Linked DNA regions of Xenopus tropicalis. The protein of the gene in region 1 purifies or fractionates together with the protein of each later gene. This does not show direct contact. Links are inferred from orthologs where the notes say so. Each region holds a gene or a part of one and is shown in the gene's direction. Other genes may lie near its edges.

Region 1 (6,150 bases):
GTTGAAATAGTTACTTCGAATATGTGAGAGATATTTCTGACATACACAGTTTTGAATAGGCACACCAGAGTTTTTACAAACAGAATTTACTGTCAAACTGGCAGTTACATTTGCATGTCACACCTATATAAATATGAATTTATTTTGAAAAAGATTTTGGGCCTTTTTTTCATGTAAAATAAACAACCCAGGTGTTAACTAGAAATCACCTACCCTATTGCAGATTCCCTTCTGCTGAATTGCAGCACCTCCTGCTGGAATATTCTGGGTATTGCAGTTTATCCACAGCTACAAGCTTTATAGGAATTCTACTCAAAAGTTTTGGGTAGAGCAGTCTTTATTAGTGTGGGGATGCAAATAGTGGTGACTTCCTAGGTCCATAAAATATATGTGTATATATAATATTATTCGTTATTATATATATTAGTGATGAACGAATCTGTGTTTCGCTGAAAATTTTGCAAAACAGCAAGAAATTTGCCAAATGCATTGAAGTGAATTGGTAACACATTTTTTACGTGTGACAATTTTTTTTCTCATGTGCACAGTTTTTTTCTAACTCCAAATGCATTAAAGTCTGTGTTTTTTCTCACTTCTTCCCGCACCTTTTCATGCGCTCAACTTTTTTCTGATTCCAAATACAAAGTCAATTGGCATTTTTTCTCTGTGAACTTTTTGCCACAGCAAATTTTTGGTGGAGTTTTGTGAAAAAAAATTGCCTAAAAAATTGGCTAAAAAAAATGGCTAAATGCAGAATTTCGCTGTGAATCCATGCCGGGTGACAAAATGTGCTCATTACTATATTATCATATATTTTTTATTAACATCATTCATATTACATTAAGTTGTATTCAACTTTGTAAAACTCATATTTGCAGACAGTATGAAGAAAATGGAGAACAGAAAACAGAGACAAGATACACCTACAGTGAGTAGCTTTCAAAACTAGAATAGAAATAACAAATCCTTCTCCCAGTAAAAGTGGCTAATGCCATTGACTATTTTCATGGGATTTAAAAAGCTTGTTCCTTATTTAATCTGTTGCCATTACACTTAAGTTAGTGGCAAACTATACTCTTTAATGCTGAAAAGCCTAGAAAGAATACATAATGATTTAATTGCCTACCCTTGTTCTACTTTTTGTAAAATGACATTTAAGTAACTGTACTTCCTAGATACTGAATGGCGATCGGAAATTGTGAGCAGCAGGCATTTTGATCGAGAGATTGCGCATCAGAATCCCAGGTGAGTGGCACACAGTTTACAAAACCACAGAAATATCATTGGAAAAGTCAAATCCACTTGTTATCTATATTTCATTGTCTGTTCTTGCTACATGCTGATCTAATAGCCTACTGTATTGTAGGAGACTTGTATTCTTTGGAGATAAGGGTACTCCCTTTCCTTAATTATACTCATTAAATAAGTTACAGTAGAGACAAGGTGTCATCAACGAAAAGATAGAAGTGCTTGAGGGTTTGGATTTAGTTTTACCAAATATATAAATTTCCTGGCACCATAGACAAATTAAAATCCTTCTGGTTCTTTTCTTTTGATTGAGGGTGACAAGTGACCTCCGTTGGGAATCTGCACATTTTGTTCTGTATATTCTTACCCCAGTGGCTAACAAGCTTACGGAATGCCTACAGTGAGATGTGGAGAAACAGTGGGGCAAACAGTGATTTGTATGTTAAAAAAGTGGTGGAACAATAAATGTGTTGTCATAAAATTTCATTTGTAGGTTATGAGGGATAATGTACCCCCTACTGTCATTTGTATGGATATACTAAGTCACTGAGGAGTTCTGTGACCTTTATAACAACTGAACCTTTAAAAAGTCACATAACCTCTCAACATTATACTCTGTATAGCCCTAACTGCTGGAAAACTGACAGTTGGTCTCTTTCAGTGCCATGGCTGTGGAATCTTTTACTGCTGTATCTTCAGATGTACAAGTTGGAAGTTACTACTTGTCAAAAGGTAAGACGCTGCTTCTGGTATGGGGAGATTGGGTATATTTCAGTGCTAGAATGCCAGCAACGTGGCTATAAGTATTTTCTGTCATATTTATTGCTTTGTACTGGAGCACAGTGCACAGCGTTACAACAATCAATTATAACTAGAACTTGGGAATAAGCCACCTGATACATGTGTAAATACTGCCCTAGATCCCAAATAAAAAACATAATAATAAAGTAGTAGGCAGTTTCACACATGAATCATTAATTTGGTGCACCAAACAATCATAGATTTATCCAATATTCAAGTAAAAAATGTCTCTTAGTAAATGTATACCTAGAAATGCATAGAGTCCTGCACAGCAATCCTCTAGCAACCTATTTATGTCCACTCCCCTCTTACATTTTTCAGGTCTTGTTGATAAAATCGATAATTTCAAGCAGATGAGCCTGTCTCAGTTGGGGAACCCACATGCTGATGTGATTGCAGATGGGGGTTATTTCTACCACAGCGCCAACCCCAAAAGTCCGGAGGTATGTTGTGTTCCTTGGATTAGTAATCTATTCTGGTACATTTGAGTGAGTCTGGAATAAACTATAGTCTTTTTCTTTTACACTCAGGTGGGGGACCTGCGCATTTCTTTCTGGTACGCTGGCGTGGCCCTGGGTGGTGCCCAGTTTGGGCAGCCAGATATGGTAACTATTTAAGTTACAGGCTAATATTAAACAAACGAACATAATATGCTTCAGCTAAGGCTGGGCAAATGTGTTGTAAGCCATGAACAACTGTCTCACTCTTATACAGTAACATCATTAATGGGACTGGGCTTTGGCTCTTTCCTTTCAGTTTTAACCTGCACTGAGAGGCCAGTGGTTTTCCTTATCTAACTCTGCCTCTGGGAGAGAAGTTTTCTGCAAGTGTTTTTTTTTTTTTTTTTTACATTTCTCCACATGAAAGTGTTCCCATACATTGGGTGGGGTAAACATTATATCTTATAGCAAATTCTAAAAGTTTTTCTCAATCTATACAAATATCAGTTTAAAAAGTTGCTGAAAATGTTTCCAACTTTCTGGCACAGTTGTGGCTGATGGGTTAAAACGAATGCAATGGTGTTCTCACTTTGACATGAATCCTGCAATAATTTTCTAAGTGCGATTGGCATCATTTCTGCCGTTCGTTGTGAGAGTAACATGTGTGCCATATGCTTTTGGGCATCTGTGCTGCTCCTATTAACAGATCTAATGGATCCTTCCAATTGCATTGGGTTGTATTCTCAGTTATCTCTCTGTTTGGGCTTCAGGTCAGTGTGATTGCTCGGCAGAGAGGAGGGGAGCTGGGTGCCTATAAAACTAAATCTGGGGATGTGCTGGAGCTGTTACACATGGGGACCTACAGCGCTCAGGTGAGTAGCCTCTTCTCTTGCTCATAATGACAACAGAACAATGATTGGTGAAACTAGAAAACATGACATGGAACCCACAAGCTGTACTTCTTATTAAACCCCAGTATAAACATGGCACACAGATTTACTTCATATGTGGAGAATGGCTGCACAGCTTACTCATCCATGCAGTAGTCTAAACTGGGCATGCTCACTAGGTGGTCTCCTATAGGCCCATCAGTACCAGCTGTGATTAGCCCTAATGTAGCTGAGAGTCTGAATGGTCCCTGCAGTTTTTTCCTGGACTGAGGCCTGATTGGTTCTTTGCAGCCTGCCTTTGTGATTGGCTGATGGTATCAAACCTTGTTCCAAATTTACGACAGGGGTTGATCTTACTGTCCTACAAAGTCCAGCGCCAAATATCCATTTTAGCTAGTCTTGGCATAGAAGTCCCGCCACCAGGAAACCAAGAGACTGCCCAGCTGTAAGCCAACGCAGCTGAACAGCAACACCAACTGTCCCATTCCTGGCACATACTAGGAACAAGACAGATTAGAGCAGGCTGGCTACTATTCAATTGCTGGTGGAAACATATGGATGTGTAGTTGCCATTCTGCAATAAATGCCTCATCCTGTTATATGAATTGTTTGTTTAGGTGGTACCCTATGTCTGTGCCTTTGTCTGTGACATTTATACAGGCATGACTTTAGTTAATATGCTATTTAGCCATTTTCTGTAGTGATTATTGTTATGTCTGGCTTTAATATATTCCATTTTCTGCACTAGTGTATGTTTTCCCCGTGTCTGTCTGGGTTTCCCCATTTCTCCCATGCACCTCAAAAACACACAGACAGGTTAATTGATTCCTGAACAAAACTGACCATAGTGTGATAAGGGGCTATAGATTGTAAGCTCCACTGGGGCAGGACTGACATGAGTGATGTATAATCTCTGTAACGGGCTGCACAATATGCTTGTGCTATATAAATAAAGGATAATAATAATTATAACTGAGATAATGAAAACACACATTACTACTACTTTTCTTCTGGTCATTGCATCCTGCAGTAATACTGTGATCGAACCTGTCATCTCATGACTAGATAAAACCTATTGAAGGGAGGCAGACCTAAAGGGCAACATAACCCAAACATCTTATGTCTTTTAGGAAATGTTTGAGGCAGAACACAAGAGTAATAATCTAAAGACCTGGGCCCTGCGTGGCGCTGGCTGGCTGATGATGTTTGTTGGCATAAGCCTGATGACCAAAATATTCTACACACTGGGTAAGCTGATTTCAAGTAAATATGATGCACATGTAGGCCAGAACCTAGCAGAGTGGCTTCATGCACAGGAAGTTCCCTATATCTAGAACAGAAATATTTTAATCACATCTTGGGTAACTTATTGTAAGGTAAGATCCTAACGGGCGAATACAAATCTAACCTATAGAAGCTGGGTATATTAGCCTTTAGCCTGTACTGGGCACTCAGGTAGATTCCTCAATCCAATGAAAGTACCACAACAATATTTCATTTATAAACTTGTAGGGCAGTGGTCTAGGTCTGGATCATTGGTGGCTAGTTTTTGTGAGAATTATCTCTTGGCCATTGTAAAAGCTGAATGCCTTAAGACAGCCACACTTAGGGGCTGATTTACTAATCCACGAATCCGAATGAGAAAAATTCGGATTGGAAAAAGAACATTTTGCGACTTTTTCGTATTTTTTTGCGATTTTTTTCGTCGCTGTTACGACTTTTTCGTAACCGTTACGACTTGCGCGAATTGTCGCGACTTTTTCATAGCCATTACAAATTTCGTGAATTGTCACGACTTTTTCATTACCATTATGACTTTCGTGAATTGTTGCGACTTTTTCATAGCCATTACGACTTTCGCGAATTGTCGCAACTTTCGTATTGAGAGCTCGAAAAAGTTCGCAAATTAGCGATCATTACGAAAAAAATGCATTCGGTCGCTTTTCGGACGTTCGTGGATTAGTAAATGTGCCACATGGTGACCCCTTTGACCAGGATGATCAAATTCATACAGTATAAGCAGATATATGGTATATTTAATGGGCACCAAATTGGTTATGCCATAGTCTTTTGGCTGCAAGAAAAAAAAAAAGACAACTTGCACTTAACCCATTACCACATGTGGGGGTCATCAGCGTGTCTGGGTGAACGGGGGCTTTTCATACTGATATAATGTAGAACACTAAGAAATGAGTGGTTGGATCAGTGCTAACCAGCCATAGACTTGTGGCACATTCTGAAGGTTGGGCAGGCATGGTCAGCTTAAAGCAAATGGCCATTGAGTGTATTTACCAAGGCCATGAGCAGGTGATGTAATGGGAAATTGCTGATAGTTTGTGTAGCTACATGTTTTTAAGGCACCTGTGTTTGTTTTTGTGATGGGTTGTGTACTAACCTGCTGTAACCTCCCTACAGTTGACTGGTTTCCTCTGGTGCGGGACCTGGTAAGTCTCGGCCTGAAGATCTGTGCCTTGTGCGTATCCTCGTCCCTCTCCCTGCTGACCATCGCAGCTGGCTGGATTTTCTATCGTCCGCTGCTGGCGTTGTTGCTGAGCGCTGCTGCTATTGGCATCATTGTACTTGCAAGGTCCCGCGTACCTCCCAAAAAGTATCAATAAGTTTATGTTGCACTCACCCAAAGGGAATTTCTAATATTATCTTTGACTTTATCAGCACCACTGATTGAAAAAGGACAACCCAATGGGACAGTAAATATCCTACATTGGTGCTATTTTAGTGCATTAGACATGGGTATGGGTTGCTAACTGGAA
Region 2 (6,150 bases), on another chromosome or scaffold:
TCAGGCCCAAGCCTTCCGGCTAGAGACGCATACCAAGTTGTTTATCTACTGTCTATACAGGTCCCACAGGTAGGCCCAGACAGTCTAGTGCAGTGGTTCTCAGACTATTTGGCTCAGACGCCCCTAGGAGGTAAACCCTTTGGTCAGGCCCCCCCCCCATAGTTAATAGGAAGGTAATAGATATATGGAAATATCATTGTATCATACCATAGCTGGGCTTTCTGGTATTTCTACAAGAACAAACAAGCACCCAAATATGCCTTCAGGCTGAGCTCCATCTGCCACCGTTCCTGGTACCCCAGACACGCCAGTCCCTCATTTTGGAAATATGAGGGACTGGTATTCTCCACAGAGCCCTGTAGGCATTGCACAATTTAATTTACTGCTTACAGAAACCTGATTAACTTGCAGCTCTTGTCTTATTTGCCCGTGGCTATGGGTGTGGGCTCGGGCAGATTTGCACAGGCCATTCTGATGAGCTGCAAATCTGGAATTAGTATTTCATATATTATTTTTTTAAATATATAATATATTGATTGGCAGTTATGGGTAAATAGAGATGACAGTTTGGTTGATAGGAAACAAGCTGGGAGTATTAGGATACCAGCAGTGCCAGGATTCTGCTCAGCTATTTTGTACCCAACCGAATGAGACATGAGGTGTAAGATTTTGGAGCAAATCAAGGGTTAAGCGATTCTGTCACAGGCAGCAATTTATAATGCAGATCACTTCCTATCATTGTATTAAATATCTTGTCATCACAACGAGACTAGGGCTGCAGAGCGGCCATCTGTGGGCATGCATTATTAATGATGGAGGCAAAGCTGATCTAATGGCAGCAAGAGGCTCCACTAAAGCGGTTGGGGGGCCACTTCTGCATCGCAGAGATCTAGCAAAGGATGCTGGGAGTGGTGTTGACAGGTTGCCTTGTAGTGCTGGGGTCCTTGGTTGTTTCTTATCTGCTTATATTTCATGTACTTAAGTGCAGCCCCCAACCAACCATTGAGGGTAATGTGTTTCCAGTCACTTTATGGCCCTAGTAGCCAAAAAAAAACATGGAGTAGCCCCCCCCATGGACTGTAATATACATTACAAAGTAAATATTATGACAGCTATAAACAGTGCCATACCCATCATGGCCCACAGCAGTCTTGCCCATATTTGGTCTGGCAGTTTGACCAACATCCACCATACTGCCTGACTGTCTAGTTATGTACGGCCAACCAGGATGGAAATTTCCACTGGTCAACTGGAAGTGAAGCGGACCCAGAACTCTCTGTGTGTATGGGGCATAGTATGCTATCTGTCCATTTGGCCAGTCAATGGATTCTGTGCCTGTGGCACACAGGGAATTTTGACTGCCAATGCTTTTTACCGGGCACCAAATTCCTACATGCCACTAGCCTAACCAGTGACACTGCTGAGTAGCTACTTGCCTTTTTTATGGTTTATTATCAGAAATCAGTATTTTGGGCACAAAGGGAAGTGCAAGGAGAGCGAAAGGCCTGTGAGTGCTGATAGCTGTATATTGGCCCAGGGAAGAAAGCCGACATCGGCACTTCTACCGCCTCCAGCCTTTATGTGTTCTGACTGCTTGACGTCTGTGAGAATACTGAGCAATCTGCAGCCTGGTCATAGGAAATGCAGGAAATCTCTGCATTAAGGAGTCCCCCTGCACAAAAACGGTGTTTTTTTTTTTATAAAAGAAAATGTCATTCTTTTCAGTAGACATTAAAAATATTCAGTGTTTTGTTAGTTGGTAAATGTCATTGCCCATGAAAGCAGTATCTGTCTGCCAGGGAAAGACCTGGAACAGATCTGACATTGTTTCAAGAGTCAGAGAATAGAGAAAAGAATTGGATAAACAAACATCACTTCAAACAGCAATTACATTTACCAATAACATTGAAAAGGTGTTTGTTTCCCTGTCTTTTCAAAGGGGATATACTCCCCCCTTTGATACCTTCCAAACCTATTTATATATATATATATTTATAAATCCAAAATTCTCATTGGCTTACAGTATAAACTGTTAAAGATTGAGTCAGAGGGTTTATCCAATTGCCAACTAATTGCCCTACTGTCTGGCACTTCGGGGGACTGTTTAATACACTGTCCCATGATCCTACTGTGTAGCCCTTAATATAACAGGTTTATCCAAACTAAAAACTGAGGTTCAATAAAGGTTCTGCACAATGTTAGCCTTGCCTAAACAATAGCCTCTCAGTCCAGTAGCCACAACTTGGGGCCCCTAAAGCCTGATGGGGACATGCCATAAAGCAGTACCAGCATAGGTATCTGGCTGCACTATACATATCTCTGCTGGGGCATTTGCCATTTTGGTGGCCTTTTATGGCTGCTGGTCCCGGCTTCAGGACAATGTCCCCATTCTGTTGCAAAGCCGCCACCTTGCCACTGAGGGTTCCTGGGGTAATCTCTACCCATCTCCTGCCCTTCAGTGCTCTATGTATTCAGCACAGTATCAGGCCATAATAGCCCCCCTGCCACTTTCCGTTAGCTTGATAGTTCCAGCAGCCTCCCAGACTCCAGGTTCTTTATTGACTCATGTCGGTCTGGTTTCCCTTTCATTAGATCGACTCGTGCAAGGTCAGACACAGTGTAATGAGCAGCCATACTTATATGGAGCGTATATATGGAACATCACAACATCAAGCCCCCATAACATGGCATCTATTTTGGTTTTTTTCCAAAACATTTCACAGATCCCTGTGGAACTACTGGAATGAAATAATAGAAGGAATGTAATGTCACACCCATTGTTGGCAATGCACTTTTGCAGTACTGATATTTTATTTGCTATTTAGTAAAGGGATTGGAAATAGAAACCAGAGCATTGCACAAGTAAATCTGATAGGGGTGACACCTGCCCGCCTTATGGCCCAGCACCCCGTGTAATGTGCAATGCGGCTTTCTCAATATGAGCCCTAATGCTAGTCTTTGGTCTCCAGACTGGGCAAGTGATTCTTGAAATTCTTTAGTGAACATTCTGCCACCTGCCCTATGCCCCCGACCCACATGTATTTTATTAGCTTCATTTATACAGTGCCAACATATTCTGCTTTACAGAGATTATACATCATTCCCATCAGTCCCTGCCCCAGTGGAGCTTCTAATCTAAAGTCCCTATTATGTTCATCTTACTTCAAGCTCCTTGCAGATAGTGGCCTGGATAGAATAGAACCTAGGGCCCCAGTACTTGTCAGCAGCCAGTTCTGCTCCAGCCAAGACCCCGATTCCCAAAATGCATTGCATGTTTAACAGGCTTGTAAAGAACATGCAAGGCATTGTTTGAAATGGTGTCTGGGCTGGAGGTGGGCTGTTTGGGCCTCTCTGCACTTAAAATGCTAGGGCTTATTTTATATCCCAGTCTAGACCTGGTTGAATACTACTACATTGTTTCAGTGGTCAGGTCCAGCAGTGCAGAGAACATCAAAGGACTTCCTGCTTTCAAGGAGAAAGAAAGCAGCATCTGCAGAGCACAGTGCTCCATATTTAAAACCTATCAGATGCCTTGGAATAATATTTTGGGCAGGGGGCCTGGGGCTGCACGTCTTCCTTCTTGAACACGCTTTTGTAAATCAGGGTGGAAAACTCTCATCGTACCATAGGCTGACGTAAATACATGTTTCTCCTGTGCCTTGCTGCCTCTTGGCTTTTCCAGATGTATGTGCATGAAGCTAGGGGCATTCCAGGGGATGCCCATATTCTCAGGGTACAACTTTTTGGGCTGCATTCTAGGTCAAAACTGTGAGGCAAAATGTAATGTTTTGGCCTGTTTTTTTGCATGCTGCAAATATATACATATATAATACCCTCACAATATACAGGCCACAAGCACCCTCGGGGATGTGAGATTGTGAGATGCCAACAATACATGAATAGGTATTCCCCTGTGCTTAGCAAAATCTATCTGAAAGATGTTTTTTACCTCTCGCATTGGTTGTATTTTTGTATATAATCTGTATGTTTACACCTCTGTGGAATATTTCCAGTCCTGGCCCAGTTACCAACATTCTTTTTCTGAATCTTTCAGCTGGACGATGCAGGGAGCAGTCTGGAGGAAGGGACCAGCAGCGCTGACATTTCCGACCCCATTGAAAATCTTGGTACAAACCAGGCCTTGGAAGGAGACTATGGTTCTTCAGATTACCAACCTGGACCACTGTATCATAAAGCCCCAAACACCCTTACTAATAACGTCCCTTTAACAAAGAGCTTCCTGGATAAGTGGGCCTCGGAAGTTGACCAACTCGTTAAAGACCGCTTGCTTCCTCACTGTGGCAACGGAGAGGGCCTGCATCTCATTGTTGGAGCTGTACCTTCTGACGTGAAAATAAACGACAAAGTGTCCGTTCCAGGGGCCGTGTGGCTGGCAGCGTGCTGTAGCGCCCCCGAGGCCTGGTCTATTGGAATCATCAAGAGAACTGAGGATGTAGATAGTCTAGAGGATGTGAGCGTGGCTGAACTGGAGAAGAAACTTCTTGGAGGAGCAAATTTGTTCTCCAGCCAATGTGGAGGAGGAGCTGGCCATCCCGAGCAGAAAGAGGTCTCAGAAGCCCTGACTGATTCCGAGCCCCAAGCTAAAGCCTCTGGACCCTTTTTTAGATTTATTCAGTTCCTTGTGTGCATTGTGTATGAATTAGTGAAAAGTCTGTTGTGTCTGGTGTGGTTCCTTGTCAAGCAGATCTGTAACCTGGTGTTTGGAAGAGTGTACTGGATCTGGACCGCAGTAACCACCTATATTTTTGCATTGTGCAAAGTTCTCCTGAACATTCCATGTGATGTTCTCCGGGTGTTTGCCAATGTTGTCTGTGGCTTGGCGCGGATCCTTGACAATATCTGTTCCGTGGTGTGTCTTGTACTAAGGATACCGATGAGGTTCCTCAGTGACATGGCCAGCTTCCCATACTATACCCTCTGTGCCATTCCCAGTGTTGGTTTAGACATCTTAGGTGGCATCTTGGGGGTCTTTGCATTAGGCTTCACTGCCGTGTTTGGGGCTTTTGGTGGATCATTCTCGGTTGCATCATTTGCAGGCAGCAGCATTTTCCAGAGGTTTGTAGGACAGTCTGAGGGATACGAAGGCTGATCGGTGATAGAGCATCAGAATTTGGCCAATAATGTTGACTGATTATTTTGTGCTGGCACTTTACTGAAAGTCATTTGTATTTCCCGTGGGATCCATACCGATTTACCTTTTGTTTCTGTCATGTAGATCTACGTTTTGTATCCACGAGAACCTCTTTAGATGGGACGCTGGCTTTGAGTAAATTGTCCAGGAAGGGGCAGCTGCTTTGGCTCTTATCTGGGTTATGGTGATTTGGGGACTCTTAGGTTGGGGTATACTTAGGCACTTTGGCAAAATCACTGGTGGGGTCATGTTGAAGGGCAAAGCGGGTATTTTCTTTCCTCTCATTAACTCTTCAGTAAATGTCCGATACAAAACGACCCAGTACAGAAGAATTTGATGTCTCTAGACCTTCCCCATCAGCAGCTGAATAACAGAAATATTGAATTGTACTCCCATTAGAGCTCGCAGTTGTACGGATTCAGGCTAGAGAGTATTCAAGTCTAAATATAGGAAATTAATGACTTTGTAGGTACCTTGTTGATGCGAGGGATTGGACTTCATTTACAAAGTCACAGCCTTTAATCCAGGATAAAGATGGTGTGTGCCATAGGGCAGTCTAATCCACAGAGCCAATGACACAGGGAGGGCAAATTAGATATAGACACCGGCTCTGGGTGTGACCCTTTTCTATATAGGGGAGCAAAGACCCCATAGAGTCTATTGTATTTTAAAGGTTTGGGACTCCCTCTACCTGATTGAGTTATAATATATTGAATTTAAAATACAAACATAAAACCCTGATGCCCTTGAATATTCCTACAAATTATCATTATTACATAGGATACCTATGCTGGCCCATGTGGCATTATGATTATTATGTTAGGGCATTATAATAAAAGGGGGGTGTCTGGCCGGCCAGCCTGCGGAGACAATAGCAGCTTAGGGAAGCCTGAAAGTGCAGGATGAGCCAGTATCACATTCATAGACACTAAAGGGAAAAATAGGAAAAGGGAACATTTTAATAAAGGGCAGTGGGGTGATCCCATTACACTGGGAGG

The links.
Region 2: the proteins of tmem43 (region 1) and endod1 purify together in Homo sapiens (affinity purification with mass spectrometry; 3 studies listed by BioGRID and IntAct, with this or other methods). This does not show direct contact. The link is inferred for Xenopus tropicalis from reciprocal best matches to the Homo sapiens genes TMEM43 and ENDOD1.

The regions. Positions count from the first base shown.
Region 1 is NC_030680.2:132,938,935-132,945,084, reverse strand, and holds part of tmem43 (transmembrane protein 43), read left to right. Parts: intron 1-878; coding exon 879-928; intron 929-1,175; coding exon 1,176-1,245; intron 1,246-1,909; coding exon 1,910-1,980; intron 1,981-2,370; coding exon 2,371-2,492; intron 2,493-2,579; coding exon 2,580-2,654; intron 2,655-3,259; coding exon 3,260-3,361; intron 3,362-4,509; coding exon 4,510-4,627; intron 4,628-5,794; coding exon 5,795-5,997; 3' UTR 5,998-6,150. UniProt on the Homo sapiens protein: May have an important role in maintaining nuclear envelope structure by organizing protein complexes at the inner nuclear membrane. Required for retaining emerin at the inner nuclear membrane.
Region 2 is NC_030678.2:164,553,858-164,560,007, forward strand, and holds part of endod1 (endonuclease domain-containing 1 protein), read left to right. Parts: intron 1-4,054; coding exon 4,055-5,110; 3' UTR 5,111-6,150. UniProt on the Homo sapiens protein: May act as a DNase and a RNase. Plays a role in the modulation of innate immune signaling through the cGAS-STING pathway by interacting with RNF26.